2 linked regions of the Diceros bicornis minor genome follow. Each later gene encodes a partner of the first gene's protein in a complex. Links are inferred from orthologs where the notes say so. Each region holds a gene or a part of one and is shown in the gene's direction. Other genes may lie near its edges.

The links.
Region 2: the proteins of RPS6KA3 (region 1) and BMF are in contact, whole or in part, in a crystal structure (PDB 8R58), measured with the Homo sapiens proteins. The link is inferred for Diceros bicornis minor from reciprocal best matches to the Homo sapiens genes RPS6KA3 and BMF. Residues at the interface, in NP_004577.1 of Homo sapiens: Trp252, Phe259, Phe268, Leu281, Ala283, Lys284, Leu285, Gly286, Met287, Pro288, Leu299, Arg300, Phe303, Lys304, Arg305, Asn306, Asn309; in NP_001003940.1 of Homo sapiens: Glu8, Leu10, Glu11, Asp12, Asp13, Val14, Phe15, Gln16, Pro17.

The regions. Positions count from the first base shown.
Region 1 is NC_080781.1:16,897,864-16,913,086, reverse strand, and holds the start of RPS6KA3 (ribosomal protein S6 kinase alpha-3), read left to right. Parts: upstream 1-7,613; 5' UTR 7,614-7,860; coding exon 7,861-7,929; intron 7,930-15,223. UniProt on the Homo sapiens protein: Serine/threonine-protein kinase that acts downstream of ERK (MAPK1/ERK2 and MAPK3/ERK1) signaling and mediates mitogenic and stress-induced activation of the transcription factors CREB1, ETV1/ER81 and NR4A1/NUR77, regulates translation through RPS6 and EIF4B phosphorylation, and mediates cellular proliferation, survival, and differentiation by modulating mTOR signaling and repressing pro-apoptotic function of BAD and DAPK1.
Region 2 is NC_080744.1:38,019,340-38,034,729, reverse strand, and holds the start of BMF (bcl-2-modifying factor), read left to right. Parts: upstream 1-9,306; 5' UTR 9,307-9,380; intron 9,381-9,387; exon of another isoform or gene 9,388-9,766; 5' UTR 9,767-9,894; intron 9,895-12,010; 5' UTR 12,011-12,015; coding exon 12,016-12,307; intron 12,308-13,806; coding exon 13,807-13,967; intron 13,968-15,390. UniProt on the Homo sapiens protein: May play a role in apoptosis. Isoform 1 seems to be the main initiator.

The DNA.
Region 1 (15,223 bases):
TGAGTGCATACTATACTATACTAGGGGAAAATTGCTCATATAGAATCGTCTGGATTCCAGAGATCTATAAATAAAAATCAGGGATTATTTTGTTAGCATTAAGTGTTTAACCTCCAGAAATTAAATTCTAGGCTCTATTCCTAATTTATTTTTAAACATGTTCCAAATTCCTCTCTATCGTTATTTTTCCCTATTGCTTACAGAGATGGACCTACTATTTTAGGAAATCCTTAATAGTAGATATAGTGTTTTCAGAAGCGAAAAATGCTATGCATATATATAAGCAAAAATCTTCTCAGTGGTTGTATTAGTTTGCTAGAGCTGCCATAATAAAGTACCACAAACTGGGCGGACTAAAACAACAGAAATATATGGCTCACAGTTCTAGGGGCTGGAAGTCCAAAATCAAGGTGGCAGCAGGGCCATGCTCCCTCTGAAAGCTGTAGGAGAATCCTTCCTTGCTTCTTCCTAGCTTCTGGTGGTTTGCCAGCAATCTTTGGCATTCCTTGGCTTGTAGATGCATCATTCCAATTCTCTGTCTTTACATGGCATTCTCCCTGTGTCTCTGTCTTCACATGGCCATCTTCTTATAAGGTCACCAGTCATACTGGATTAGGGGCCCACTCTATTGAAGTATGACTTCATCTTAACTAATTATATCTACAATGACCCCGTTTCCAAATAAGGTCACATTCTGAGGTACTGGGTGTTAGGACTTCAACATATCATTGCAGGCGGACATAATTCAACCCATAACAGTGGTCTAGAGGCCCATGGTGAACTATGGAAAGGGAAGTTTTTTGTTTTTGTTTTTTTTCCCTTTTTCTCCCCAAAGCCCCAGTAGATAGTTGTATGTCATAGTTGCATATCCTGCTAGTTGCTGTATGTGGGACGCCGCCTCAGCATGGCCCGACAAGTGATGCGTTGGTGCGCGCCCAGGATCCAAACCCCGGCCGCCAGTAGCGGAGTGCGAGCACTTAACCGCTACGCCACGGGGCCGGCTCCTGGAAAGGAAAGTTTTCATTTGAAAATTATCTCTTTTAGCATCCTTTCAAAAGCCTTATATTGCTCTTTGGAGAAACTGAAACTTATTTTCATTTTATTCAAAATGACATTCACAGAATCTTGCTGTATCCACCAAGGTGAAATAAAATAAAGACAGCAATGTGACAAGCAGATGTATTTAATAAAGATACTTTTAAGTACTTATTTAATTGTATTTTATGGTACATTTTCCTGAAGTTTTTTGAAAGAATTAGAGTGAAAAATATTCACTCTTTGTCAAAATGAAACACTGACTTTTACTAACAATACCTATTGTTAGAATGAAAAAAGATAATGTAGGTAAACCATTTAACAGTTTGCAAGTACTCAATAGCTGTTAGCTGCTATTAATATATATTTAGCATTCTTAGGAGCACAGTGATGATTACAGAGGTTAACACACATGAAACACTTGTAACAGTGCCTGACACATAGTATGCACTCAAAAGATGTCTAGCTGCTACTGTCAACATCACCATCACTATATAAGATGATAAAGTGTCTGAAACTGCCAATGCTACTTCCAATTGGTTTATTCTTGCTCACACATGAAGTCAACATTTGCATATAGTTTCATTTGGTGGGGTTTCTTAAAATTTCGTTTAATCTATAGAATTCATCACTTATTTAGCAGGCAATTGTAAGTTATTTAAATTCAATTTCTTTTTTAATAAAGGAACTCCTTGATATTTATACCCACCCAAAGCATTTATTTTATTTACTAGTTACCAGGAAGATGACTTGAAAATAAGCTACTGAAATCATAATCGATGTGTTGTTTGAGGAAAATGTACTTCATTTACAAACATGGCGTTATTAATCCACAGCCAGTTTTTCCAGCAACAGAGCTGATTTGACACTGCCTCAGTCACACAATTTTTGTGATTAAAGCTGCAGATTTCCCAACCATAGAGATTTGGGGTTCAGTTGGTGGTCATGGAATAGAGTTCCATTTCATTCCATAGCTTTTCCCAAAGTCACTTCCCCATTTGAGGTCTGGTTATGGGCTGGTCTTAAATGCAAGTCACTAAAAAAGTCAGGATATTTTTTAAAGTACCTTTTCTAGCTGCAGACTCAAATCTACATTCAAAAGCACAAATATAAACTTAAAAAAAACAACGTTACCACAATAACAGCCATGTTCTAAAACAACAGTTCCATAAAGTTTCGAGTTTTTTTTTTTTCATAGTGATGAGTAGGAACTGGTGGTCCTTGGGTTTTTGCTTCAAAATGGTTTGTGGACTGAAAAAATTTGAGAACCACTGCTCTAACCAACCAAACTAAATTGATAGTTATAAAACAGGAATGTTTACCCTCTGAAGGAATACTTTATACTGCGATTTTTGGTTAATGTTAAAGCAGCCGTTTTTAATATGAGTTTGAAAATGAAGTTTTAATATATTATCTCCCTCTTATGAATTAGTGTTTATAAACAAGAACATTTAGTGGGTCTTTTCTGTTCTAGTAAAATGAAAACTGAAGGAAAACAGTAGCTTATTAAAGCTCCAAGAATGGCTTCTCAGTTCCTTGTCAAGTCTCAAAGCCCCATAATTTTTTTCCCTTCAAACAACTCAAACAAAATGACACCTCTAAGGATTAAACATTTTGGAAACCAATGAAAGAAAACATTAAAGCATGTCTGACACAGACCTCTTCTCCATACTTCCCCGTTCCTCCCATCCTCCCTACATGAGTATGAGTCAGGTAATGTTAACTTTGAATCATACATTTGTTGGTTTCTTTTGAGCATTGCATAAACAAAGTTTTGATCATAGCCTATGAGGCAACTGACCTGTAATCATTTGCATTTCAACATACGTGGCTTGAAAAACAGAACAGTAAGTTACCCTACATGCTCTTTTATTTGAATTCCACAGGAAGTTACTCACAGTATCATTTTTTGTGATACAAGAGTGCCCTAGAGAAATAGATCATACCATAATAAAATGCTCACACAACAAATGGAAAGAAGTAACTTTCAAGAGTGAAGTATTTGAACTACATTATGTATGCAGGAATACTCCTTTCTGAATAAAGCTGATAAAAATAGCTCCACTTATTGAGTGCTTCCTATGTGGCAGGCACTGTGCTTAATGCTTACAGACATTATTTGCATTTAATCATCCCCAAAATCCTACGCACGAGGTGGGTTTTATTATCCTTATTTCCAGATGAGGGAAACAAAGCTTATTCTGCGAATATTTATTGAGCAACTACTATGTGCCAGACCCTGTTCTAGGCCTTCAAGTTGAAGCTTAGAGATGTAGAGGAACCTGGAGTTTGGACACAGGCCTGTCTCTGCTCTTATCATGAGCCCACACTGCCTTGCTGGGAAGAATGTTAAACATTTCAAGTATTTGTATCGTAGAATGGCTTCCCCTTAGTTCCTTATAGATTTTATTAGCATCTTTCATCATGTGCAACTCTAGAATCATTGAACTTTCTATCTGGAGGGAAACCTAGAGAAGATCCTTACATTTTCCAAAATTTGAATTCTCTCAAATAAAATTTTCAAATAGATGTAGAAATTCCTGTTGTCTCTTAAGATGTGTGTCAATCAGGAAAATACTCTTAATAATTTTTATTTAGGAAATTTCAAAGAAAAAAATGGAATTCATACACGTGAAAGATATGTCACCATGCATTTTGTTTAATTATTGTCTTATGTGAGATAAAATTTAAGCCTAAGTTTTATCTCTTTGGAAAGAAATAGTTAAATAGTCTCTAGTGATTACTTTTTCTGTGAAAAATAAATATGCTTCAGATAATGTAAAGGGAAAAAACTTTTTCAGAGAGGTGATGATGATTACGCTTCATTTTCTATGGTGGTGACAAACCTATATGTAACAGAGCTGTGAATTTTGGATGTATGTGAGGTAGATTGTGCCATGAGCCATAGTTAGTCATCTTGTAACTTTTCCAGACTGATGTAACTCCATTTTTTGAACAAATGTTATTTTGTTAAGTAAATGCCCATTTAAACTTGTATACAAAGGTTATAATTATAGCAGGAAATTGTTGGGGACAGAGGAGGTTAAATCTGGTTGTCCTGTCATACATTAGGAATGATTTCTTGGAAATCTAGCCCAGATTTTCGACTGAGGTTTGCTGTCTCCCTTTGCTGTAGTTTCAAGTAATAACTTTCCAATATTTTGGTTCTGACTGAGAGATTTATGGGGGGGGGGGCATAGATTCAGTAGGTAACTGAATCAGCCCTTTGTGCTGATTTTGCACAGAGGAGCCCAAAAAGATAGCGGAATGTGAGGATATCACTGAACATTATAGGTCTTGTAGGAATACAGAAAAGGGTCAGTGTTAAAGGAAAGTTCTAAAGCAGGGCTGTCCTATAGAACTATAATGCCAATCTTGACAAATAAGCCACATATGTAAGTATACATTTTATAGTAGCCACATAAAAAAAGTAAAAAGAAACAGTTGAAATTAATTTTAACGAAATATTTTATTTAACTCAATATTCAAAATATCATTTCAACATGTAGTCAGTATAAAAATTATTAATGAGGGGAAGTGGTGGGGGGAAGGCAAAAGGGATAAAGGGGCACATACATATGGTGATGGATAAAAACTAGACTATTGGTGGTGAATACAATGCAGTCTATACAAAAACTGACATATAATAATGTACACATTAAATTTACACAATGTCATAAGCCAATATGACTGCAAAAAAATAATTTTTAAAAATTATTAATGAGATACTTTACGTTCTTTTTTTTGGTACTGTCTTTGAAATCTGGTGTGAACTTTACACTTATAGCACATCTCAATTGGGACCAGCCAACCTTATTTTAAGTGCTCAAGAGCCACATGTGGCTAGTGGCTACCATATTAGCCTGAATAACTACACTTCGAGTTTTCCTTTCTTAAACAGGAAAAAAAATTAATCCTGCTCAGGCAATATCAGCTTCTACGTTCAAATAACTTTTTTTGCTGCCACCTACAAGAAAAAATTGATTTTTTGATTTTCCCAAATTCTCCAGCCAGAGAGAGTGGTTGCACCACTCTTGGATTTAATAAAAGAAACGAAAAAAGTTTATTGTTAACCAAAAGAAAAAAAACTTGCTTTCTTTTCTTTTTGGGCAAAAGTAAGGAGAATAGCGTTTTTCTAAATCAAGTCACAAATACTTATCAAGTTGATCGTATATTCAAGACAGCTGTGCTAGTGGTTCTTTAGTCTATTATTAACAGTTCGTTTAATGCTTAATTCCGGCAGTGTGACCACTGTTCACATTAGTTTTACAGATCAATTAACTTTGTTTTAAAAGTTATTCCTCTAGTTCTCAAGGTAAAAAGAAATGAATAAAAGTTGATACTGAAATCAACTTTTCAGTATACAAACAATCTGATTTATTTTAAAAAGGTTAGTTCACTGAGTGGAGTAATTAGCGCTGGACAATGTTAAATACATAATAACCGTCTCTTTTCAGCTATGTATGTTTTTCCTAAAGCAAGAATGTTAATTGGAATAATTGATCACTGTTTGGGGGGCTAATTTACCTTAAACTAACCAAATTGACCAACTTCTTTTCGGTATAAGGAATGGAAACGTGGCTTTGCAATGTAAATGAAAGATAAATTAGGCACTTTGTACGTAAATGCAAAAAAACCCACAACTACTTGTCTTCAGACTTCTGCAAGCTGGTTTTACCCTCAGGAATTATAGAAACGGTGCTCGCAAATTAGCTGAGTTTGGGTCCAGATTGGATTCGCAGCACTTGAATCAAGCCTGTTGGGGGAGGTGACAAAATCGCGAGTTAAGTCCTCCCCACCCCCCACCCCACAGACCACGCTGAGCCTGCCCAGATGTTGCTCAACCCTGAGCTGTCCCCCTGAGTCCAAGGCTGCGGGAGAGGGCGCGCAGCGAGGATTTCCGGCCGCCTCCTCAGGTTCCCTAAACAGATGGAGCCTCTTCAGGAGGCCATGAGGCTCCCGGGCCTCGAGCCTGTGCCAAGGGGCGCGCCGGCGAAGGCCGCAGAAAAAGCCCAACACCTGCCTCTTTCCGGCCCAGCGAGAAACCTTGCACCGCCCGCGCAGACCTGGCCGGCTAGGTGTGGGGCTCTAATCGCATCCTCACACCTGCGTTAGGGAGGAAGGCGAGGGCTCTCCAGGTGTCTGCGTCCCGGAAGGACGAAAGGGAGCTGTTAAGAGGCGTGCACCAGGAGCGCAGCGGGGGACGCGCTGTGGTCGCCGGGCGTGGGAGGACCCGGACGCCTGGGCCGAAGCCTGAGGGGATGAAGGCACTGGCCGGCCTGGAGATTTTCCTTTACTTTTTTCCTTTTCCTTGTAGGGCTGTTAGCCACTGGCTGTAGTAGCTTTCCACTCAGACCGGCGACTTTTACACAGTTCTGCCCTGGCGCACTGAGCTCGCCACGACACCTGGCGCTGGGAACACGGGGTAGAACCCCCCCCGGGACCCACTCCAGACGCCCAGGCCTCTCCCCACAAGCTCTCTTCGTCCTCTTGGGCTCCGTCGCCGTCTGGGGATTGGGTTTCCTTAACCCAGGGCTTCCCTATCTTGGGCAGGAGGAGGAGTTAGAACCCCTCCCTCTCTCCCCCTCCTCCACCCATCGCCAACCCGATTTTTAATCTAATCTTTTATTTAAAGTCAACAGAGGAGCAGGAACCCCGGGCTCCTGCCAACAAGATATTTTTAAATAATTCCCCAACCTCTGCTGAGAGAGGCAGCCTTAAGGAACCTCCTTGTTTTCTCTTTCGTCAAGATTTAGGCAGCAGGGAGTGGGGGTGGCTTCGAGGGTCAAGGCTGAAGCCCGAGGGCTCTGCGGACTTGAGGGAGGGGGCGACTCCTGCAAGACGAATGAATTCCAAATATTAAAAATATAATACGAGAGCGTCAATTTGGAGAGTCTTGAATCAAACCGAGAGCCGAACCCCCAGAGGGCTCCAGGGCACGAAGCCTTCCGTGTCCCTGTCGTGGGGCGTGTGGAGAGGGGGCAGGTGAATGCCCAGCTTGTGACCCTGAAGAGGGCGTGTCCTGGGCCATGACGGGATGTGCCTATAGACTCCGCGCGCCTATACGCACTCACGGAGGGCTCAGGCGGAAAAGACACCCACGCCCCCTCTCGGGGTCCTTGGCACCAAACCGCGCCCCCCGCGCCTCGCCCATCTCTTTCCCCAGCTGGGCGGGGACCACTGTTCTCTACATCCTCAAGGAGCTTCCGACCTACTGGGTCCCGTGGCACTTAAAGGCTCCCAGCCTTTCTCCCCTCCTGCCTGTCCCCTCTTTTTTCCCCCGCCTCCCGCCGACGCCCCCAGATCTCTCGGACTCGCCCTTCCTGAAAGTAGGCGAGGCCCAGAAGCTGAGGCTGGGGCGAGGAAGGAAGGAGGAGCGCAGCGCGGCGGCCGGGGGCGTGTCTTCCCAAGCCCCGCCCCCGGGTGCGCGCGGCGGTGGTGGCGGCTGCCGAGCCTCGCTCTGAGAGACAGGTATCGCTTAGGCGCCATGTTGTGAGCGGAAGTGGGGGAGCGCGCGGCGGCCGCAGTTCTGCTGGGAGCGGGCGCGGGAACCGGCGGGGCGGGGGGCGGAGCTGTAGTCCCGGCGGCGGAAGGAGGAGAGGAAGAAAGGGGCGAGACCCGGTGCCCGGCAGCGGCGCGAGGCTCTCGCTCGGCGCGCGGACGTCTCCAGCCGGGCACGCGGCATTCGAGGGTCGGTGTCGGCGCCGAGCCCTCTCCCGGGCAGCCGCCGCTGCTGCCGTGGGGCTCGGGCGGCGACGGAGCGGGGCTGGCCGCGGGGCGGGCGGGGAGGGAGGAGGCGGTGAAGGCGGCGGGCCGGGGGGGAAGATGCCGCTGGCGCAGCTGGCGGACCCGTGGCAGAAGATGGCTGTGGAGAGCCCGTCCGACAGCGCTGAGGTGAGTGCAGCCGGGCGGCCGGGGCTGGCTCGTACCCTCCCTCCCCTCCCCTCGCCCCCGCCGGCTCGCTCCCCACCCGGGAGTCGGACACTCGGCCCCTTCCTCAGCCGCTCGCGTCTCGCCTCGGTCTGGGATTCCGGTTTGGGTAGTTGGGGTTGGTCTCTCTGCCCTTCTGTTCCTCCCACCCGCACCCACACCTCCCCTCCCTCGCTCGGGGGGCTGTGGGGTGGTGGCGCGTGGGGTTTGGAGTGGGCGCTGGGGCTTTGGAAGAAGCCGATTTTAATCAGCTTCGCGTGGGGGGAGCGGGAGGCGGAGCGGGGGCCGGCGAGGAGTTGGGAAGTTTGGCCCTGCCGGGTTGGGGGCTTCCCTGGCCCCGGGTGACTTTGGGCGATGAGGGAGGGGTAGGGATTGGGTTCACCGGGGAGCAGGGACTCTCGAGTCCGGCCGGGGGAGGGGGTTGCTGCGGGGACACGGGCGCGCGGGGGCAGGGACGGCGACCTGTGGGGGTTTCGGGTAGGGAGTGCAGGACAGCCCAGGGGTTTTGCCTCCCCCCATCTGCCGCAGCGGTTTCTGCTGCTGCAAAGGAGAAAGTGGAAGCCTGAGGTCCCCCCCCCCCGCGTTTCTGAGGTCGCTGAGCTCGAGGACCCGGCCCCCGCGAGTTTAACTTGAGTTTCCTGTCCATGGAGGTGAGAGGGTGATATTCAAGGAGACCAGCGGCCGCCGTAAAGGGCTGTCGGGTTTTCCTCGCCCGGGATCTGGTGACCGTCCCTGAGACACCCTCCCGAGTGCTAAAAAACCCAAACAATATACCCAAACAGGGCAAAACAGAATTTCCCCGGACACCCCACGGCACTGAGCTTTTCGCAGTCGCCCCTGTCCCGGAACCAACTCGGGGTCTGCGAAAATAATCCAGACAAGACCCATTCCAGGGCATCAGCGCTCCTCTCCGGAGTGGAAAATCAATTCCTGATGGTGGCGCGTCTGTGATTCTTCCTTCTTGACTTTTTTGCTGTCTTCTATCCCCACAGCGGACTTTGGGGGATTACAGGATGATAGGCTGCGTGTGTGTAATAGTTACTGAGTGAGTGACCCCATTTCTGGAAAGCATGACTGAAACGCGGGGGTGGAATGGGGCAGGCTCTGATGAGTGGTGTACTTGGCGGCCGCCGCTGCCCTGCCGGCCTCCGCAGTGTGAGAGGTGGATAGGGTTACTGGTTACGTCAGTACGACCGAGGCTCAGTTTGATCTGAGATGCGGGACACTTGCATTCTCCAGCATATAATGAAGGGGGAGGGGGATCCGTTCTAATCGCTTTTCAGTGTTTTCCTAGTCACCTCCACTGCTGTATAAAATGTTTACTTGCTCTCCCTAACGCAAGCAGAGTTGTAATAGTGCTTACGATTGGTGCTTAGTATTTTGCGACTTAGATCGTATTTTTAAAACCTAAACGCTGCTCTTGAATAAGAAAGACATTGATATATGTTACCTAAAATTTTTTTAAAGGGAATCATGTTTTTAAGACTGGCAGGATTACGAGAATTTCATTTAAAATTGTGTTAGCCAGTCTAATACTATAAATCTTTTATAAGAAAATCAAATTTAGAATGTTTAATCATCCTTCGAATGGTTAGTGTGAAAAGTAGTATGCCAGGGGGCTCTTTTCATTCATTTTTTTTCCTTCAGAAATTTTTTTTTGCGTTAAATAATATAGCTACAAGGTTGATAAAATATGTTCTCAAAGTGCTGACCTTGTGGAAAGAAATTGAATTTGCTTTGAGCCTGATTTTTAGATGCAAACCTTAACATTTGCAACTCATAATCAGTTCACATTTCTGCTTGGCACGTATCAATGTGAAAAAAAAATCGTTTAAAATTCCACCTTGTCCTTTTCTATGTAGCGTACATTTGGATAAGGAAGGCACAAAACTGGTATTTACTTAGCACTTATTATATGCCAGATACCGTGCTACATCCTATTTCATTTTCTTTCCTTGACCCAACAGAATAGGATTACGGTCCCTATTGTTACAGATTAAGAAACTGAATCTCAGAAGTTAAAGGCCCAAAGATTATAAATAGTAGATGGCAGAGCCATAATTCAAAGCCAGGTGGATATAATTCATGTCCTTTGCTTTATATTAGGGTAGCTGCTTCAGATCCTTTGTGGAAAAATTCAGGGTATAAATAAATAAGCCAGTAGTTAGAGGTCATGTGTTTTTCAGAAACAATTATGGTATTACAAGAGGTCTCATTTGTTAAAGTACTTATTTCGGTTACTGTCATGGTTTCCAGAACTTGGCAGATAGGATTCCGCAATTTGCCATGTTCAAAGAATTTTCTTGATATTCTGGCATGAGGTATGTCAAACAGCCAGTGTTGCCTAGATTTATTAAAACTAGATTTTAACAAATTGCCTTTAGATATTTTGTTGCCTTTGGTTGTTCAGCTGTTTCAAGTAAATTGCTTCTGATAGAAATTTGGAAATATTGAGACCAGTAAGGAAAAGGTTGAGAGTTTTCTTTCAAAAGTCTAATATTGGGCTTAATATTATGCCATCTCCTCCCCAGTAGGTTCTTATCAGAGAATAATTGTATTTTACCAGAGTAAAATCAGTTTTTTAAGATAGTCATTTACTTGAGTAAATACATCAAAAGTTTTCTCTCCAGGCTAGAAGATGTCAAGGTTGGTCTCTATAGGAATGTACATTTATGGTCTCACCCCTAGTAGACTGTGAACTCTTGAAAGCAGAGACTTTTTTTCTCTGTATCCTCAGCACTTAACACAGTGCCTGGCACATACATATTATGGACCCAATGGATGACTGCTGAGTGAATTATGAAGGTCAGGAATAGGGTGATTATCAATCTTATCTCTGTTCCTATCATTTTAACCTTACATTGAAATAGGAACAATCTTAAAAGACCTGAGTACCTCACCAAAAGTACAGACAGTTTCTTCATTCCTTTATATGGCCTTCCTGCTCTAAGATCTCACGTGAGTCGCATGGTGCTCGAAACAGAAAAACCCTTGTGGTGGAATTCAAACATGGGTCAGAACATGATAGGCTAGAACTAGGCCAAAGGTTTCAAGAAGCAAATTTAGGATAATAAAAGAAGTACTATGTAAGCAAAGTCAAGATTGGTACAAGATTAAAAACAAAATAGCTTCGTAAATAGTCCAGGTGAATTCAGAACTCTTTAATGAGTTATTTAAAGATGCTAGTATGTTTCTGAATATTTGACTGTTGAGATGGATATCAAGGAATTGTGGCTATTCTGTTCTACAAATTCCTTGCTACTACTGTCAAGGACAGCATTTACTGGATCATAAGCCTGACCTAAAGTGACACTTTTTTCTCAGTTTCAATAGAGTAAGGATAGTAAACCTAAAATTGAACAATTTCCAAAAGTAATAAAATTAAGGAGGTTATTTTGCTTTATAGAAATGTGTTGTATAAAAATAGCCACCTTGAATTCCTTTAAATAACAAATACTCATAATGCGTTGAAAAATAACTATATAAATATTTTCTTTCTAAAAAATGAGACCCTTGTATTGGAAGCCATCTTCAGTAGATGCATGGCCATCTTTAACCTCAAAGATTATACTGGATTCTATAGTAGTTCTACTATATTAGGTTTCTTATGTTTCATCTATAGGGAAAAACATTCTGTTAAAGTATGATTATTGATTGTGAAAAAAATGTTTTATTAAGTTTTTTTTCCTTTTACTGTTTCATTTTTACCACCTTTCAGGTTTTTTTCTTTCCCCCAAGTGAAGATCTGAGGAGAGGACAGGTATTGTTACATGTCAACTGTCAAGTAACTGTGACACATTACTGAACACTTCGTTGTTTTCAGTGATTATGATATAGAATGCCAGTTTTTGTTAAACAGAAATTTAGGAAAGTTTGCTTTGTTTTGGCAACTTGATGCTGTACTGATGGGGTTGATCCAAAATGTGAAACTTCTTTGGTACATCTAAATTTTAAAATAAAGAGCTAAACTTATCTAATTAAAGAAATAAGTATAGGCAGACTTTGTCTTTTCTTTAGTATGTTTCTGGAAATCACAACGAGTATATCCTATTTTTATATAAGGAGTGTGGCATAATTGGGATGTGCACGCTTGACCAAGGACATGATATTCAGTCAATTATAGAATGATCAAAAATATAGTAGGTCATTTATCAAAAGTCTGAATTGCAGAAGAATTGTGCTGAAGATTTTTTAAAAATTTATCATCCACTAAAAAATTCATACCATTGTGGTCATTGAAAAGATTTGCTCTAGAGTTCTGTGCTCAGGGACATATGATCTGCCAGGCTATGAATGATGGGTGACGTCAGGTGGCCCAATTTGCCCAGTGCAGACTGGATGTTTTAGAGCCAGTGGTTCAGATTACAATGTACAACAGTGACATCTTGGTGATCTCTTGGTAATGCATGAGTGTGATAGTGCTCAGTTGTTTATATGTTTTGGTGGATAACAAGTTTTGAAGCACTGGGATACAATTGTGCAAATATGTATATGACACATCCCATTCCCCAGTTCACATAATAGAAAAAACAAGCAACTGCATTTTAATACTTGGCATTAGATGCCCCCTTTCAGAGTTGATACAGTTCCCTGTGTCATTAATCTGGAACAATTACCAGATCTCAGATAATCCGGTTTATCAATTTAATTCCAAATAGCATGAAAGCAAAGATAAAACAACTATAAATCTTAATTGTTAAGTAAAATGTGTCAAGTTAACAAAACGAGCACAAATATACTATACAGTCATGTGTCGCTTAACAATGGGGATACATTCTGAGAAATGCGTCGTTGTGTGATTTCGTGGTTGTGTGAACATCATAGAGTGTACTTACACAAACCTAAATGCTATAGCCTACTACACACCTAGGCTCTATGGTACTAATTTTATGGGACCAGCGTCGTACATGCAGTTTGTCATTGACCAAAACGTCGTTATGCAGGCATGACTGTATACATTTTATAAAACAGATTCAGGATAAAATGTATCCATATAGAATGTAACTATCATTTAACACATTTGACCTATTTTAAGCAAATACTTTAGTTACTAACAATTAAATATTTCATTTTTACTTATCTCCTTATCATTTAGAAGGCACTTTGTGGGATAACTTGGATGTATGGCAAAGTGTTAAAGAACATAAGCTCTGGAGTTATGAAGACCTGGGTTTGAGTCCTGGCTCTGCCACTTAATAACTTTGTAATCTTATGCAAGTTATTTAATGTCTCTATGCTTCAACATCCTAATCTGTAAAATAGGGATGAAAATAATGTCTACCTCGTGGGGTTGTGGTGAGAGCTAAATGAAATGATAATATATGTAAAGCACTTGGTTCAGCACATGGTTTAAGTATTTACTAAATAATAGTTATAGTGAATCATCTCTCTAACAGAACTGTCTGAGGAAGTTCTGTGTTTTTCCTCTGGGGTAATTTTTTCAGAATCAAGCAGAACAATTAAAAATGATTTGTTTGATCTGTTTAAACAGAACCATTATAATATCTGAATATAATAGGAGTAAGATGAACAGAAATCTCTTGAATCTTGTCCTTTTTTTGTATTGTTCCCCTCTTCAGTATTGCGTTTAAAGGGGGAAAACAGATAAAGAACATTTTGAAGAATATGTGTCGAAGAAGGAAGAAAGGAAAGTACGTTCACATTTCAACATTGCTCAAATTGGAAGGCGTCTCACAATCCGTGGCATGTTGTTGTTTAATTAGCAGTGGGTTTTTTCCTCAGTAATATTTAAGATAATAGTGTATCTTACACATAATGGTGTCTTATAATCGATGAACTATGGTACATCCTGTATGTCAACTTCATGAAAGAAGTGTGTCCCTGAAGAAATGGATAAAGTCAATGTATAGAGTCAATAAGTAGAATTTTAACTTACTTTCTAAAACATACCAAAACAAAATGTGCACAGCTTTTTATATTTTAAGATCAGTTCTGTTAATTTCATTTTTAGGGACGGAACTTAATATGGCACACCTCCTTGCCCAGTATTCTAAACACATTTGTTTTGGTTATTTGAGTATGCCATGAGTAACTGGGTTTTCCTGTTTAGAAATATAATCCTTGGATTTGGTCTGTTATGTGGTATTGGTACTTAAGGAACTTTAAATGGTACCTACAGTATTTTTAACTGAGAAGTCTCTGGGAATGTTAAAGGTGTATCTGTGCCCAAGCAACCATCTCCCCCCTCCAAAAAACACAAAGGAGCATGGCATGATCAAGTAAATTTGGGAATTGTGGAGTTAAACAAGATTTGACCAATTTCTTTACTGCATAACTTCTTAGAACTTTCAAGATGTTGATGTACATGATGAATCTGCAAAAAGGATATAGCCCACAGCAGTTGAGACTTGATGTCAGAACCCGTTTTTCGTGAACCATCTATTAAAGTCTCACAGGACACAAGTGCCTTGCAGAACACAGTTTTGGAAAGTCTGATAAGTACAGTAACATGATCCAGTGTTGCCTGGAAATGAGCTGTTATGTTTGTATCAAAGCTTTTTTCTTTAACTGTCAAGACTTTTTGTTGCATTTTGCATTGAAATCTTTCTAAATTAAATTGTATAGCAATTTTCCATCTTAATAGTGGACTAAAAATTTAAATATAATTTACATAAAAGTTTAAAATAATTTAAACTTTTTATTCAATGTTCTGAAAATTGATGGTCATATTCTACCTTATTATCAAGCTAATTGCCCCTCCTAATTGGCCTCTACATTTACTTCCTCTGTAACTTATGTCTAATATTCATAGTTTTTAAAAACTCTCTTATATCATTTGCTGCTTTATGCTACTGTCAATCTGCCTACCTCTCCCATTCTCCTTTTTAAATTAGTTGCTTCTGACTTGCAGTTACTGGAAAACAGGTAGCTAAGGTTAATGATATTTTGATGCAGCCATTTTTAGCTTGGGATCATTGTTACTTCATCTTAAAAAAGCAATTTACACTTACAGCTTACCAAATAATGTAAAATAGCACCCTCACCCTTTTTCTGATCTCTGCCCATCATATACACATACCTCTGGGGTCAGGGGTATTTGATGGACATATTACCTACTAATAAACAGCGGTTTTTATGCTTCAACATACCATAACAGAATGGCTCAATTACTGACATTACCTACTCTGCATATTTACCTTCCTCTCTTGAAGGTGTCAGCTAGAAAGGAATGTGAATGAACTAAAGAACAGGCAGCTACAAGACCAAAAGCTAGCCTATTGCCCCACCTGGAGTCAGG
Region 2 (15,390 bases), on another chromosome or scaffold:
CATACACAAAAATTAGCCAAAAATGGAGCATGGGCCTAAATGTGAGAGCTAAAACTATAAAACTCAGAAGAAAATATATGAGTAAATCTTTGTGACCTTAGGTTAAGTAATGGTTTCTTAGATATGACACCAAAAGCATAAGGGACATAAGAAAGAATAGACAAATTGAACTACATCAAAATTAAAAACTTTTGTGCTTCAAATGACATCATCAGCACAAGAAGTAAAAAGACAATTTATAGAATAGGAGAAAATATTTGCAAATCATATATCTGATAAGGGACTAGGATCCAAAATATGTAAAGAATTCTTACAACTCTACAATAAAAAGACATCTAACCCAATTTAAAAATGGGCAAAGGATTTGGATAGACCATTCTCCAAGGAAGATATACAAATGGCCAATAAGCCCATGAAAAAATACTTAACAGCATTAGCCATTAGGTAAATGCAAATCAAACCCACAATGATTCTTCAAAAGATTGAACATAAAGTTCCCTCCCCATTTGACCCGGCAATTCCACTCCTAGATATATACTCAAAAGAATGGAAAACAGGTATTCAAACAAAAACTTGTGCATGAATGTTCATAGCAGCACTATTCATAATAGCCAAAAGGTGGAAACAAGCCAAATGTCCATCAACTGATGAACAGATAAACAAAATGTGATATATCCATATAATGGAGTATTATTCAGCCATAAATAGGAACAAAGTACTGATTCATACTACAACATGGATGAATCTTGAAAAGATTATGTTAAGCGAAAGAAGACAGTTACAAAAGACAACATAGTATATGATTCCATTTATATGAAATGCCCAAAAGAGGCAAATCTACAGAGACAAAGTAGAGAGGGCTGGCCTCTCTGGTTAAGTTCCATGCACTCCGCTTTGGAGGCCTGGGTTCATGGGTTCAGATCCTAGGCACAGACCTACATCACTCATCAGCCACACTGTGGTGGCGACCCACATACAAAATAGAGGAAGATGGGCACAGATGTTAGCTCAGGACTAATCTTCCTCAAGCCAAAAAGAAAAAAAAAAAAGAAAGTAGATTAGTGGTTACTTGGGCTGGGAGGGGTTGGGGGAAATGAAAATTACTGCTAATGGGTATGAGATTTCTTTTTGGAGTGACGAAAATGTTCTAAAATTGTGATGATGGTTATATAACTGCAAATATTTTAAAAATTGTTAGATTGTACACCTTGGGTGACTTTTACAGTAGGTGAATTATATCTCAATAAAGACTATAATGGCAGGCAGTGGGAAGGCAAGCGGGGGATGTGTCTTACGTCTCATGGCCTCCCTACCACTCCTAATACAGTGTGGGGCACATTGTACGTGCTCAATAATTACTTCAGGTAAAGGAAGTAGTTTCTTTTCAGAGAAGTCATGAGGATTTCAGTCACACCTATTGGGCATGTGTAGAAATAGGAAGAGACCCCACTGACAAAGAACCAAAAGAGATCAAATGAAACAAAGTCCCCAAAACATAAGAGTAAATTATTTTTTTAAATCACATTTCAAAGATAATGACACAAACTTTAAGTACCAAAGAAATGGAATACACAAGCTCTCTGCCTACAGGGCATGTTTGAGCAATAAACATTTAAACAAAAACTTCCTTCCTGCAGACAAGGAAACTGGTAAACTCCAGGAATGCTTTCCGAGGAACTACATTCTAAACCCAAAGCCATATCAAGATTCTTTTTTTCTCCTCCCTTCTGAGAGCTTGCCTAGTCCAAAGGCACAGTGAAGGTCATAGTCTATGACCCTGTCTTAGAGCTGATGTAAGCTGGGGAAGTAGTTTCTCCCTAAAGTCAATAAGAATTTACACCAGGGGCCTATCCAGAGGTCAGTTTTGTATATTTTATACCCTCATTGTGAGAGGTGTCAGGATTGAAAAAATGATTCTACTCTGAAGCATTTCAGAATTTTTGATATTTTTCTCCAGTTGTGAAATTCAGGATTGGGGCTGCTGTTTAGTTTCTTTGTCACACGTTTACATAGCCTCGGATGATGCTTGGGAGTCCATGAAAGCTAGAATAGGATCCATAACCTGGTCTGGTCTGGGGGAAGAGTTCAGAGTCCTTAGGGTCCCCCTCATTCCTTAGAGGTTATTACACCCAGAACAGGCTTCATGACCCTGAAGCCTTAGAAAAGAGCCCGAAATGGCCCTATCCTCACCCAGTTTCACATTGCGGTTTGACATTTTTTTAAACCAAGTAAACCAGTATTGGTAATTTAAGGCTGGGCTTGTCCTAAAAGAACAACTTGATTTTTATTCAAATCACTGATTCAGGTGCCCTAACCTCTGCCAAAGAGTAAGTCAGTTTACTGGTGCAAAGAGCATCTGAGAGCTGGAGGAGACCCACGTCATGGTCACTGGTTTAGCATAGCTCTTTCTCTGGGTGAAGAGACATTGATAACTCCATTCACGAGCCATTTAAAAGATTCAGACTCAGGCCGCCCCGTGCCGTAGCGGTTAAGTGCACGAGCTCCGCTGCTGGCGGCTCAGGTTGGGATCCCGGGCGTGCACCAACACACCACTTGTCAGGCCATGCTGTGGCGGTGTACCACATAAAGTAGAGGAAGACGGGCACGGATGTTAGCCCAGGGCCAGTCTTCCTCAGCAAAAGGAGGGGGATTGGCATGGATGTTAGCTCTGAACTGATCTTCCTCACCAAAAAAAAAACAAAGAAAAGGTTCAGACTCAAGTGAACTTTTTCCAAATGGGGACGATAACGTTAACAAAAGCAGCCTCTCCACACAGGATGACTTCCACTAAAATGTCGAGCATTTCATGAGCCAATAAAAGGGCTGACTGTTGTTGCTGTGGCCCAAAGTGAGGCCAGAGACAGGTGGCAAATGCAGGAGGAGAGCAGGGTTTGAGAGATTAAGGAGATAAAGAAAGAATGCTGCATGGGGCAGCGGGAGAAGGAAGTTGGCAGAGAGGGAAAGGAAGTCCAGGATGGACAGACAGTAGAGGAACTACAGGGGCGAAGATCTATGCTCAGTTCCAGAAGATTCCATAGCCATGTAGGGAGGGAAAGAAAGCCCAGGGCAGTGTCTGCCACTCTAGTGGGCTCCAGACACCACACCAGACACATCCTGGCTGTGTTGGCAGGCTCTTCAGCACCTTCCTCTCGCTGGCCCACCTGACAGCTGGGCATGGCCTGGACATGCAGGCACTCTTCGTTGAAAGGTGGATGCAGGGTAATGGTGGCTGCCTGGGACTTGTCTCCTGCATCCAAGAAGACTTTTTCTCTGAGCCCATGGGATCTTTGATTGGTCCTTGGCTGGGAAAGCCCCTTCAGCCTGACCTCCCCTCCCTCACCTGGCAGCGTTCAGAAAAGGGATGAGGGGCCCCTGTTGGTCCTGTACAAATCCCATCCAAGCGACAGACCACAGTCCCTTGTTCAGTCATGCGTGTTAGCCTAAACCCACAGGGCCAGGGCAGGGCTAGAAGATAAGGCAGTGTGCTCAACGTAGGCAAGGATAGAAGTAGGAACTGAAAATGTGCCCCAGAGCTGATGCTGGGCCACTGGACCGCTTCCTGCGGGTGATGCAATCACTTCTGCCGCAGGTGGTGGTGACGGTGGGAGTGTTTGCAACTGAGAGAGGCTGGAATTTACCTCGCTAGGCTGCCTCAGGCCTGGCCTTCCTGTTCTGAGGGCACAGAGGACAGTGTGTTATTGATGGGGGAAGGGGAGTGAATTCTGCCTGTGAGGAGAAACTGGGTGTGCCTTTAAGGCAGTAGATGTAAGGCATGTGAGCACTGGCTTTCAAGCCAGAAAGACGTGGCCTCCAATCATCTTTCTGTTGCTGTTTTGCCTGTCTTTGGGGAAGTGACCTTAGTTTCCTTGAGTGTAAAATGGCACTGATGGCGATAGCTCCCTCTTGGGGTTGTTTAGGATTAAATGAGATGCCTTTTGTCACGTGTCTGGCATTCAGTAGGTGCTCAGTAGGTGGGAGTTGTTTTGATTAGAGCCCAGGGACCTCAGGCCGGATGGGGACAAGAGGCTGATGTTGCCCCAGAGTCCTAACTCCTGCCTGCCAGCCTGTTTACTCAAGTTATGCCACATCTGAATCTGTAGGGGCAAGGACATAAATGTGAGGGTTGGAAGATCACCTGTTGATGGCGGAGCTGGGAACTAAACCCAGGTCTCCTGATATCTAGCCTAGAGCCCTTTCTACTTGATCTGATGACAGGTGGGCTTTGGGAACAGGAAAGAAGCGGGGCATCAGACATTTCCAGGATGCCTCTGTTCGAGGAACAGCAAGACCGCTTCCGGGGAGGCTCAGCCTCTCTGGGAAGGCTGTTTACCCTCAGTTCTCTAGTTGCAGCTCTTCCCGCCACACCCTCCTCCCGTCCCCAGTTTCTCTTTGAGCTTGGGTATAGGTGTGCATATGAAGGTTCATGTTTGGGAAGAAAGGGTGTGGATATGCTCAAGGATCCCCCCAGGGATTGTATCTGCACCTCCAGCCCTTGGTATGGAGCCTAGCACACGGCAGGTGCTCAGGATGACCTCACACCTGGGTGACTGAGCCCCTCCCTCATTGCCAGAGAGTGACCCCCTCCCACTCCAGGACAGTGGGGGTTAAGGATGTGGCTGGAAAACAGCTGATCCAACTCACCTTCTCAGAGGAGCACAGATTCAAAACCTGGGAGACTCTATGCCCAGAAGGGACCAGTCCCCAGTTCTTCCAGGTGGCAGTTTTCCTTGATAGCAATTGATCATTCTCCGGCCTCACCTGGAAATTTCTGAGATTTCCTTACTAATGCCAAAGAGAAGTATGTATTGATGTACTAATGTACCTTTGCCCAGGAAAGAGGCCGCATCCTGGGGAAAGTGGAGTAAAAGGAAGAGTATTTTGATTGGATTTCTTCATTCCTTGGCAGAATACAGCCAACTTCTCTTCCAAGGGCTGGGCATGCTGAGCTCTGGGTTGGGCAGGAGGTGGGGGAGAGAGATGCTGAGGACACTGCCCTAAGGACCATGCTTGTAGTTTTTCTGTAAATCTATGTCCACAAACTTAGAGAGTTCCATCATGTGCCAAGCCTGAAGAAGAGGGGTGGTCTGAGGGTACCAAAGGGTTGACACATCACCTTTGCCTTTGAGGGGGAGGCCCTGCTGGTGAGAAGAAACTCAGGCAAGGCCAGCTATCCCTAGCAGCAAACACAACGTAGACAGGACGTTTCTGGAAAATCCTCCCCTGCAGCTTTTTTCCCACTCGCCAACCAGAACTATTCATATTTTTAAAATGTGGAAATGTACACTTATTCAGTCATTCAGCAAATATTTATTGAGTGTTCCCCCAAACAAAACCGAATATGTGCTGAATGTCATAATTCGTGGGATCCTGGACCACACCTTATCTTTCAGGTTGCACTGGGCTTTACCATGGTAGCCTCAGTCTCTGCATTTCCCTATGCACGCAGGTCTCTGAATTCCCAAATGTTTTCTCTTCAGTACCTGCTTTTTCTGAGTCCCACTGAACCAGTGATTGGCAAGTAGTGAATTCATCGACTGGGAAATCAAGTCTCTCCACTTGCTTACCCAATTAGCAGAAGCCCATCTGTCTGTTCTGGTATATTTTCTCTCTCTCCCCCCTCTCTCTGTGTCTCTCTCTCTGTGTGTGTGTGTCTCTCTCTCTCTCTCTCTCACACACACACACACACACACACACACATTCTGTAACACAGAAGACAGGGACTATTCCTTTGCAGACAGATGGAATAATGCATGGAGAGATAAATTCACTCTGTTAGAGCAAGTCCAGTGAGGGAAGGATACCAAGCCTTCCAGGTTCCTGGTCTTTCTTATGTACACAATCCCTCCTGGAGGGATTTAAGAGGCAAGGGGCTCCCCTACCAAGACCCCCACCTTACCCATAAATCAGTTTCCAATCTAACCCCTCCCTGGGGGTTGAGTTACAAACCTCAGTAACCCCGGGGCAGCCTGCCTGGTAATTCCTATTATTCAGCTGTCAGCTGGTTTTTTAAAAACCTCCCTTCCCAGTGATCCAGTTACCGGAGTTTCAGAGCCCGTTCCTTGTCTCAGGGAGAAATCCTATAGCCAGGTGAAACAATGGAGAGGGCTCCTGCTTTCTAGAGGGAGCTTGGGTTTTCTCTTCTGTTGAAAGCAGCCTCCCCTTAACTCTTTGCATCCCTCCCAGATTGCAGGGCAAGGTCTGCAGGCCTCTTTCAGGCTCCCACACTCATGCCTTTCAGAGCAACTTTCCTTTCTCTGGGCAAAGTTTTGCCTCCTTCTAGAGCCAGCACCAGCCAGCAGAGGAGAAAACAAATTGGGGCAAGGGGTGGGAAGAGAAAGAAAGAAGAGATTCTCCAAAATAAAGGTTGCTGCGGCTGCAATGTGCTCCGAGCCCAGTCAAAAGCCCAGGGTTCATCTGTTCGTAGGGTGCTGCTGTTGGTCGGAGGCTCCAAACCCCAATCTCCAGCCCAGGGGGTCCTGACACTGCTGAGTCTGCCCTGTGCCAGAAGGAGAGAAAGGGCCCAGAGGGAGGAGTCTGCTTTGACAGCGATGAGAGGTGGAGAGTGAGGCTCCTGACCTCCCTGACCCCTTTATCCCTGACAGTCTCTTCTGGTCCCTCCAGCTCAGAAGGCTGGGCCCTGCTGCTTGACCTTAGAGGCTGAGAGCGCAGGAGGCCAAGCCACCGGTGTCCTTCAGAACCAGCCTGAGGGAGCAGGCTGGGAAGGCCTGGGAGAGAGGTCTTAGAAGAAACGTCACTAGAGGGTGTGACCCTTCCCCCATCTTGCAAACTGGCCAGACCCACTAAGATGATCCCCTCTGCTCCCCCGCCCCATTCCTCTAACTGATGACTTTTAACCCTTTATAGGGAAAACTGTTGCAAGCTATGGAGCTACCCCCCGCCAAACAAATGTTTGTGTGAACCCACAAAAAATTTAGCCAGTTTCAGGGGTTCACAGACCCTAAAGCTGAGGAGACCCTGGTGAGTCTGGTGAATACGTGGATCCCAGGTAAAAATCTTGCTCTACCACCTTCCTTGCCTTGTGGACCCAATTCCACCCTGCAGGGCTGTGATGAAGCAGACAGGGCTTTAGCAGCTCCGGTGGGTCAGCAGAATTAGGATGACCCCTGTCCCCTGGGGCCTGTGCTGCCCCACAGGACAGATTCAGAGCTGCTTTGCCCATCAGTTCTACTCTTGATCCTAATGATGCTCATAGGCCCCACGGGCCAGCCTGAGACACCGGCAGAGGAGGAAAGCCAATAAGAAGAGACGGATGGGGCCGGCCCTGTGGCATAGCAGTTAAGTGCGTGTGCTCTGCTGCTAGCAAAAAGAGGAGGATTGGCATGGATGTTAGCTCAGGGCTGATCTTCCTCACAAAAAAAAAGAAAAGAAGAAGAGAAGGATGGAAGGAAGGAGGGGAAGGAGGTCTGTGCGTGGTGAACATGGTGAAGGCTCCTCTGTGCCCTACACAGAGGCTGGGCTTAGTCTCCTTATCTCCCCATGTATGGCATGAGTGCAAGGTCACCCCAACCAGCTCTGACACTCCCTCTTGGCCAAGCCTCCCGGTAAAATAATATACTTCCTTTTGGCTTTGGCAGCTCTTTCTAGACATCCATCGACTCCTGGGGGGACTCGGCTGCTGGCGACCCTTGACTCTCCCTTCTTTCCCTTTTCCCTCTTCTCCATCCTTTGGGGACAGTATTTTCTTATTTGAGCAACCACAGTCCTCAATATGCCTGGTTCACTCTCCTTCAGGCACCTTTTGCAAGAGCTATGGAAAGAATGGGTAGGGAAAAGGTTCAAGGAGACTTCAGGCTCCTCTGGGCTAAGGGTCCCAGCTCCCTTAGCTTAAATCTGAGTTTATGACCCAGAGACAGCAGCTTGGTGGTCAGAGCACTGCCAGTCCCCACATCTGCTCGGGAGTCAGGGCCCATCAACGCTCACCTAGTCTGTTGCAGGCACTGGCTCCCTCTCACTGATTTCTGGCATTTTTATTTATCTTTCCTAAAATTCAGGCTTGGTCAAGTCACTCCTCTTCTATAAAATCTTTGTTCCTCTTTGCCTCCAGAATAAAGTACAGATTGCCCAGCCTGGCATCCCAGAGACACCTCTGTTTCTGACCTGACCCTACCTGTCCATGCCCACCCTCCCTGAATCCTGGTGTGCACCTGATGATCCCGTCCCCCAGCCTGCCCCTGCTACCAGGACAGGTTTTCCAGTTTAACAGTTTAATCTTCTACCCCCAGGCCTGGACTGTTTTATCTGGTTTTCCTTCTTGAAAAATTTCCCCATCCTTCAAGTCCCAACTCAAAAGCCATCTCCCAGTGTTTGCATTCTGAATTTTTCTGCGTCTCCCAGCAGTTATTATCCCTGGAATTAACACATTTTGTGCTGCTTTCCATCAATTTCAGTCTACCTCTCCAAGCAGACTGTCAGCTCCCTGAGTGCAGGCACCAGGTTTCTGGCACCTAGCCCAGTACCTGACACAATGTGGGCGTTCAATAAATGTTTGTGAAACAGCCCTTGATAGTACGCAATCGGCAGGACACGTTGCTCTCCTGGCAGCACCAGCACCATCTCTGGATGCTGCCATAAACAGGATGCGTGTCAACCGCCCAAGTAGCCCCTGCATTCTTGATCTCGCCTCTCCTCAGCTAGACGCTTCTTTTCTGAGCGTCCAAGCCCAGTCAAGAAGAGGATATGAGGGTCCCTTTGGACGTGTTTGATCTGAATGTCACTCACTAACAGCGCCAGATACACGTGTTCTCACGCTTCCTACAGCTTTGGGGCTGGAGTTCTCTTCTGACCCGCTCGGCAGGCGGGAGGGTGTTTTGCCACCAGGTCGGAATCCACAGGGACACGCACCTTGCATCCACTGGATGCCGCCAGCCTCGTCTAAAAGGCTCGCCGCCTCCTCTTCCCCTCCCTTTCTGGACGCGCGTAATTATTCAGTCTATTCCCGAGAAAGACAAGACAAAAGTCTCTTTGGCGCCCCCTCTCTCCATCCTAATAGAGAGGACTCAGGGACTCTCCAGCGCTTGCCGAGCCTGCGTTAGGAATCTGCGCGGGCGACGGCGCTCCAATTGCGTTTCTGGAGGGGGTAGGAATTTTGCTCGGCCCCTTGCAATGTTTCCAAAGGAAGGTTCGTACATTCGTGACCGTCCCTGGCAGCCGCCCAGCCCGGGACTTGGGGCTCCACTTGCCATTGGCCAGCCGTCGGCGTGACGCGCCGGAGGCGGGGCCTCATCAGCTGTTTGCGGGATGCCCCGAGCGGGCGTATTTTGGAAACAATACCGCGCGGTACAGAGTGGCCTCCTCCCGCGCCGGCCCGCCCGCTGCCGCCGGCGCCCCGGTCCGCGCCTCCCGCCTTCTGCCGCAGCCGGGTGAGCGCCCGGGCGGCAGAGGGCCGGGCGGAGTTGGATCGCACCTCCTCGGGGAAGTGGGGAGAAGAGTCGCGCTGCGTCTGGGGGCCCGGGAAGGGTTGGGCTGCGGGCTTCTGGGGTGACCATGAAGGACTGGGGCGCTGGGGTGCGGGAATGGGGTGCAGAACCCACATCTGGGTGCGTTGTTCCACGAGGGAACTTGGGGGTTCTAGCATTTGAGACTCCGAGGCGTTGGGTCCAGGTGGGCAGGGTAACCTGCGGTGCACTGTTGAGCAGACCTGGGCGCCCAAGAACGGCCCGGCCTCTGGGTCTGCCTTTGGGGTAGGGCAGGGAGTTGTGGGCTGTGCTGCCTCCCTGCAGAGTCTGAAGGCGCCTCTCCTTAACAGCTGGGCTTTTTCCCTCCTTCCCAATTGAGTCTGGGCGCCAAGCCCCCAAGTGCTCGTCACGCTGGACCCTGGCGCGGAGCCCTGGCATCACGACTCGGAGGCCGAGACTCTCTCCTGGAGTCACCCAGGTCTGCTGTGTGTTGTGTGAGTGCGTGTGTATGTGTGCGTTCCCAGATTTTAGTCGCTGCCAAGGTTCAGAGTGTCTGGCTACTGCCTTCTCCTGGGAGGAGGAGTCGAAGTTCAGCATCCCTGTTAGAGCCCTCAGGGGCTGGGAAGGCTCCAGCGGGCTTTAGTTCCCCTTGCTAGGAATAAAGCCTTCCCTGGCAGTGTTCTTAGGAAGTGCCCTTCTCCCACCAGTTTTGATATCAGCTTTTCAGCTCAGGGGAAGGAGGGGGAGAGGGTCTCTTGACTGTATCCCAGCTTACACTTGACCTTGCCCAGCACCCCTCCGGAGGCACCCACCTACAGAAGAGCCACCTGCAGTTCCTGTGGAGAGTGGGAAGGGTCCCCTGGGCTTGCAGAGCCACACCCTCTGGCTGCACCTCCCCCACCGTCCAGCCAAACAAGGGTTGAACTTTGGGGCTTTGCTGGGAGGGGGAGGGGGAGGTGACGGGCTTCAAAGGAAAAACCAAGACAATGACTCCTGCTTGTGATTGGCTTTGGAGGGCCCCTTCTTAGGTTGGGATTGCCAGCTTACAGAGAGGAGGTTGAAGGGCAGGAGGGGAGCCCCTGCCAGTTGACTGGCAGGACAGCACTTGGTCCTTTCAGTGGGAAACTTTGTTTCCTGGTGCTGATAAACTGGAGTTCTCCCACCCACCTTTGGGAAACACTATCCAAAGAACACCGTGTGCCTGTTTTGCCATCCAAGTGGGCATCTCCTCACTCTCCAGGGAAGAGGGCAGAGATAGGACCATCGATAGCTCAGGGACTGGATGGGATGGAGGGAGGGTTGAAGCAAGTAGAGAAATGGCATTTGGGAAAGGCAGGATTTCTGAATTTAACGGAGATTGGTTTAAGTACTTTACCAACCCACAGACCATTTGGCTTGTTCTTCAAAGGCAAGAGACTGGGAGACAGAATTCCCAGGGCATCTCTAATTGAATCTGGCAGTGACAAAACATTGCCTCTCTATATCCTTAACCACTCGTTGCTGCTTCTGGCTGCCCCAGGGGCCCTAAGGGGTTCCTGGTGTGTGTGTAGGGGGCTGGGTTGGGAGCTCAAGTTGCTGGGTAGTTCCAAGCTCAGACTTCCAAGACCATCAGGTGGAGCAAGAGGAACTTCTTTATCACCAAGAAACTCGTATCAACAACCTAATAGTCTATGCTGGGAGTGAGGTCACAGAGAGAGGGCTGAATTTCACTTCCTTCTGTGAGTCAGGTTGTACCAATCTCAGGTTGGGCGCTGGCAGGAATGGTAGGCTGTGGGGAAAGATTTGAAGTCTGGAGACTCGTGAGTAGACTGAGCTGGGGGAGGCTGACTACTTTGCTGGACCTGCCCTTGAGTCCAGGCTGTGGTGGGCAGACAGCTCTACTCTGCTGAGAGGGTGGCTGCAATGACGAACTTAGGTCTTTTTCCCCTGTCTCTCCAAGGACACACTCTTACCACACCTCCAGCCTGTTTGTTGTCTTGAGCAAGCAGGAGGTGGAGACGAGAGTAGATGAGCAGCTGGGCGGGGCTTAGCAGGTTTGGAGGGAACCTGGCTGCTCTAGGATTGCTGGCTTTTGTTTTTGCTGCTGAGCCTGGAGCTCAGCTCAGACCGAGATGAGAGCTTGGTGGTTACTGCTCAGGGCAGTGTGTGTGTGTGTGTGTGTGTGTGTTGTGAGCACTGTGTGTACAGCCAGTCACAGCACCCTTCTGCCCTCCCACAGTCACTCACAGAGGCTTGTCTTGTCCACATTTCCCCAGCTACCCTTCGTATCTGTAGCAGCTGATCCTGCCCCTGCTGTTGCTCAGTCAATAGCAGCCAAACTTCATGACTGGGACTGGTCTGGGACAGAAGAAGAGGCTGAGGGGAGGGTTGGCTCTGGGTGGGCGCAGGGAAGAGGTATGGAGAGTCCCTGAACAGTGAGGCAGTCCACATCTGGGGGCGGGTGTCACTCTTGGCAGTGCTTGTCTGTCATCAGTACCTGGCCCCACTTCCCAAGATAAGAAAGGAGAGCAGGAAAGAAGGAAAAGGAGGGGATTCCTTCCAGGTCTGGTGTGAGTGGAGGCAGCATGCCCGATGCCTGCATTGTGCCCTGACAGGGGACATGGAGCCGCCTCAGTGTGTAGAGGAGCTGGAGGATGATGTGTTCCAGCCAGAGGATGGGGAGCCGGGGACCCAGCCCAGGAGCTTGCTCTCTGCTGACCTGTTTGCCCAGAGCCAGCTGGACTGCCCCCTCAGCCGTCTGCAGATCTTCCCTCTCACCCACTGCTGTGGCCCCGGGCTTCGACCCACCAGCCAGGAAGACAAGGCCACCCAGACCCTCAGTCCCGCCTCCCCGAGCCAGGGTGTCATGCTGCCTTGTGGGGTGACTGAGGAACCCCAGCGACTCTTTTATGGTGAGTGCTCTTTGCCTCAGGACTCCTCCCATAGAGACTGGGGGAAAAGAGGGGACTTTCCCTCCCCAAACCTGCCCCTTGCTATTTCCTTCCCTAAATTGAGCAAGCAGGGGTATTGAGTCCTTAACTCTCACCCTTCTGCCTCTCTGCTTGTTATTGCCCCTCACCTGTGCTCCTTGGGCCCCAAGAAGAGCCAGTTGCCCTGCCATTGTTTCTGCCCCTTTGTCCCTTCCTGGAGGGATCCTTGGGTCTCCCTGGTGTCTCCTTAGGTTGGAGGGAGGGTACCTGGGCCTTGGCTTTTACACCTGTGGCCCATTGAGTGGCCCAGCCTTTTGTGTCCTGGTAGTGATGTGCCTTCCATAAAGTGGCTAACGTTGCCCTGAAGAAGGTTAGGGGATCTATGACTCGCTGTTGACACTGGAGGGAAAAACCCAGCCTATTCTGGGAGGGAAGGTTCCTGAAGGCAGAAGGTGGCCCCCAATTGTCACTTGGGACTTTCTGTGCTTGGAAGGGGAACTGGAGAAAGAGGTTTGGCCTGCCTGGGCTCAACGCCAGCAGAGGGGCTGTTTCCAAGGCTCAGTCAGACAAGACCCCTTCATTTGTGGGCTTAAATGGTTTGTTTTATGAGCAGTATGCCCTCCTCTGGCAAAAGGGCAGGGTTAGACACTCAGTCTCTTTTCTTCTTTTAGCACAATAGCTGCTGGAGGGAGGGGAAGGTTCGGAGGCTATCTTGCTGTGTCTGACGGAGCAGATTGAGGAGATGCTGCGGTTATTCTTAGAGGGAGCGACTCCATAGGGCGATTCTGGCAAAGCAGTTCTGGTGGATGAGGCAGGCAGGCAGTGAAGAGGGACAGGAGGGAGCAGGCAGTGGGCGCCCCTAGCGGCAGCTGGATTGCCAGCTCTGGGTAAGTGAGGAGCCCGGGGCTGCCTCCAGAGAGGAACTTGGCTATTCTGTGGGTCTGAGGAGTTTTCTCTCCCTAATTTTTGTGCCACTGTCTAGAGCTTCAGGACCTGAGACCAGCCTTCTTCTGCTGCTCTAAAAAGTGAAGACCCTTTTTGGTTTTCTCTTTCTCTGTGCCTTGCTTTGCTCAACCCAGGAACTCTGGAGAGCTGCCTCCAGTGCTTTTCCAAAGAGGAGCTTCAACCCTACTACATGAATAATAAATTGTGGTCAATGTAGCTTGGTAGATAAGGACAGAAGGTTGGCACGTTCGCCTGTACATATTACCTTTGCCGTGGTTCTGCCAGTGACTGGAGAACTGAAGGGAAGGCTGGGACCATTCACTTCTGTTCTCCCAGCATCAACTTTTATATGCTTGGGCAGCAGGCAAGTCAGACTGTCCAGATTTGGCAGAGTGCCCTGATAAAGGCAGGCTAAGTTCCTCTCCTTTATCATACTAACGTTTACCCTCAGCCCAGGTCTTGGCCAGGAGTTGCAGGCATGGGGAGGATGGGGCACTCGTGGAGAATGCTGAGATGTGGGCCCTCTGTCTTTGCAGGCAATGCTGGCTACCGGCTCCCTCTCCCTGCCAGTTTCCCTGCAGGCTTGCCCCTTGGTGAGCAGCCCCCTGAAGGGCAGTGGCAACATCGAGCAGAGGTACAGATTGCCCGAAAGCTTCAGTGCATTGCAGACCAGTTCCATCGGCTTCATATGCAGCAAGTAGGCATGGGGCCTTCGGGGGTGGTGAGTCTGCTGGGGCTGGGAGGCCTGGGCCTGCCTCAGCCTCAGTCTCCACCTGGAGGATTAGGTCCTAGAGTTTGGGACTGATGCTGTTGTGATTCCTGTGGACTGGATGAGCCCGACTGGATGAGCACTCTTGCCCTGATCGCTGAGCTTCAAGTTGGTTATCTGCCCGCTCAGCTCAGGCTCCGTAAGAGCAGGGTGTCGGGATGCTGCAGTCCCTCCCAGGGAGTGGGGTGGCTTTCTGCAGCCTTGCTTGACAAACTGTCTCTTCTTGAGGCCTGGGTTGGGAGATTGTCCCACACAGACCTCAGGGGAAGATTTTCAGGGTGCTGCAGTGTAATTGGACAGTTGGGGTGCCTGGCTGAGGTGCAGTGGGAAACGGGTAACCAAGGCTGGGATGGGCCTGACTGGGGGAAAGTGGTGGAACCGGTTGTAACCCGACACTTTGCAGCTGGGGAGGCTGCTCCTCATTGTCTGTGTCTGGGAACTGGGGCCTGGGACTCGGGAGAGTGTACCTCAGAGAGTCTCTCCAGACCATCGGCCGGGCGCGCGGCCGGGTGCTTGGCCGGCAGCCTGGCACCAGCCCCGCCAGGGCGGAGCATCGCGTGTCAGTCGAGCATGTGGCAGAGTCCATCAACAAAGGCGGCGGCTGGCAGGCTCGTGCTGGAGGAGCCCTCCGTGCCACGGGCTGGAGGCTGCCCTGCTCTGCAGCCGCTGTCTGGGCCGGGCCCCAGGCACTTAACCCTTCCTCACTGGGCTGGCTTTCTGGACGGCTGCCAAGGCAGGGAGAGGAGCCCGAGGCTGGAACCGTGCTAATACAACCACTGCTGAAGCAAAGGCATGCCACCTGAATTGAACACGGTCCTTACCTCTGGAACAGTGTCCCTGGCCCACCGGGCTGTGTGTGTGTGTATTTGTCTGTGTGTGTGTCTAGTGTGTCTGTCTGTGTGTATGTCAGGAAATCAAGAGAATAAATAATTCAGGGGCCAGCTCCATGGCGTAGCGGTTAAGTGCGTGCGCTCCGCTGCTGGCAGCGCAGGTTCGGATCCCAGGCGCGCACCGACGCACGGACGCACAGCTTGTCAGGCCATGCTGTGGCGGCGTCCCACATAAAGTGGAGGAAGATGCGCACGGATGTTAGCCCAGGGCCAGTCTTCCTCAGCAGAAAGAGGATGATTGGCGTGGATGTTAGCTCAGGGCTGATCTTCCTCACGAAAAAAAAAAAAAGAATAAATAATTCACCATGATTGGTCAGACCCTGAGGTTAGATGGGTAACTTCAGGTGGTCAGAGGAGAGCTATTGGTAGTAGAAGGTTTGACTTAAGGGTCAAACCGTTGCCAGCACCAGGGGGAAGAGGAATTGACTTTGGAGTTCCTGAGAACAGGCCATCAGGGGTTA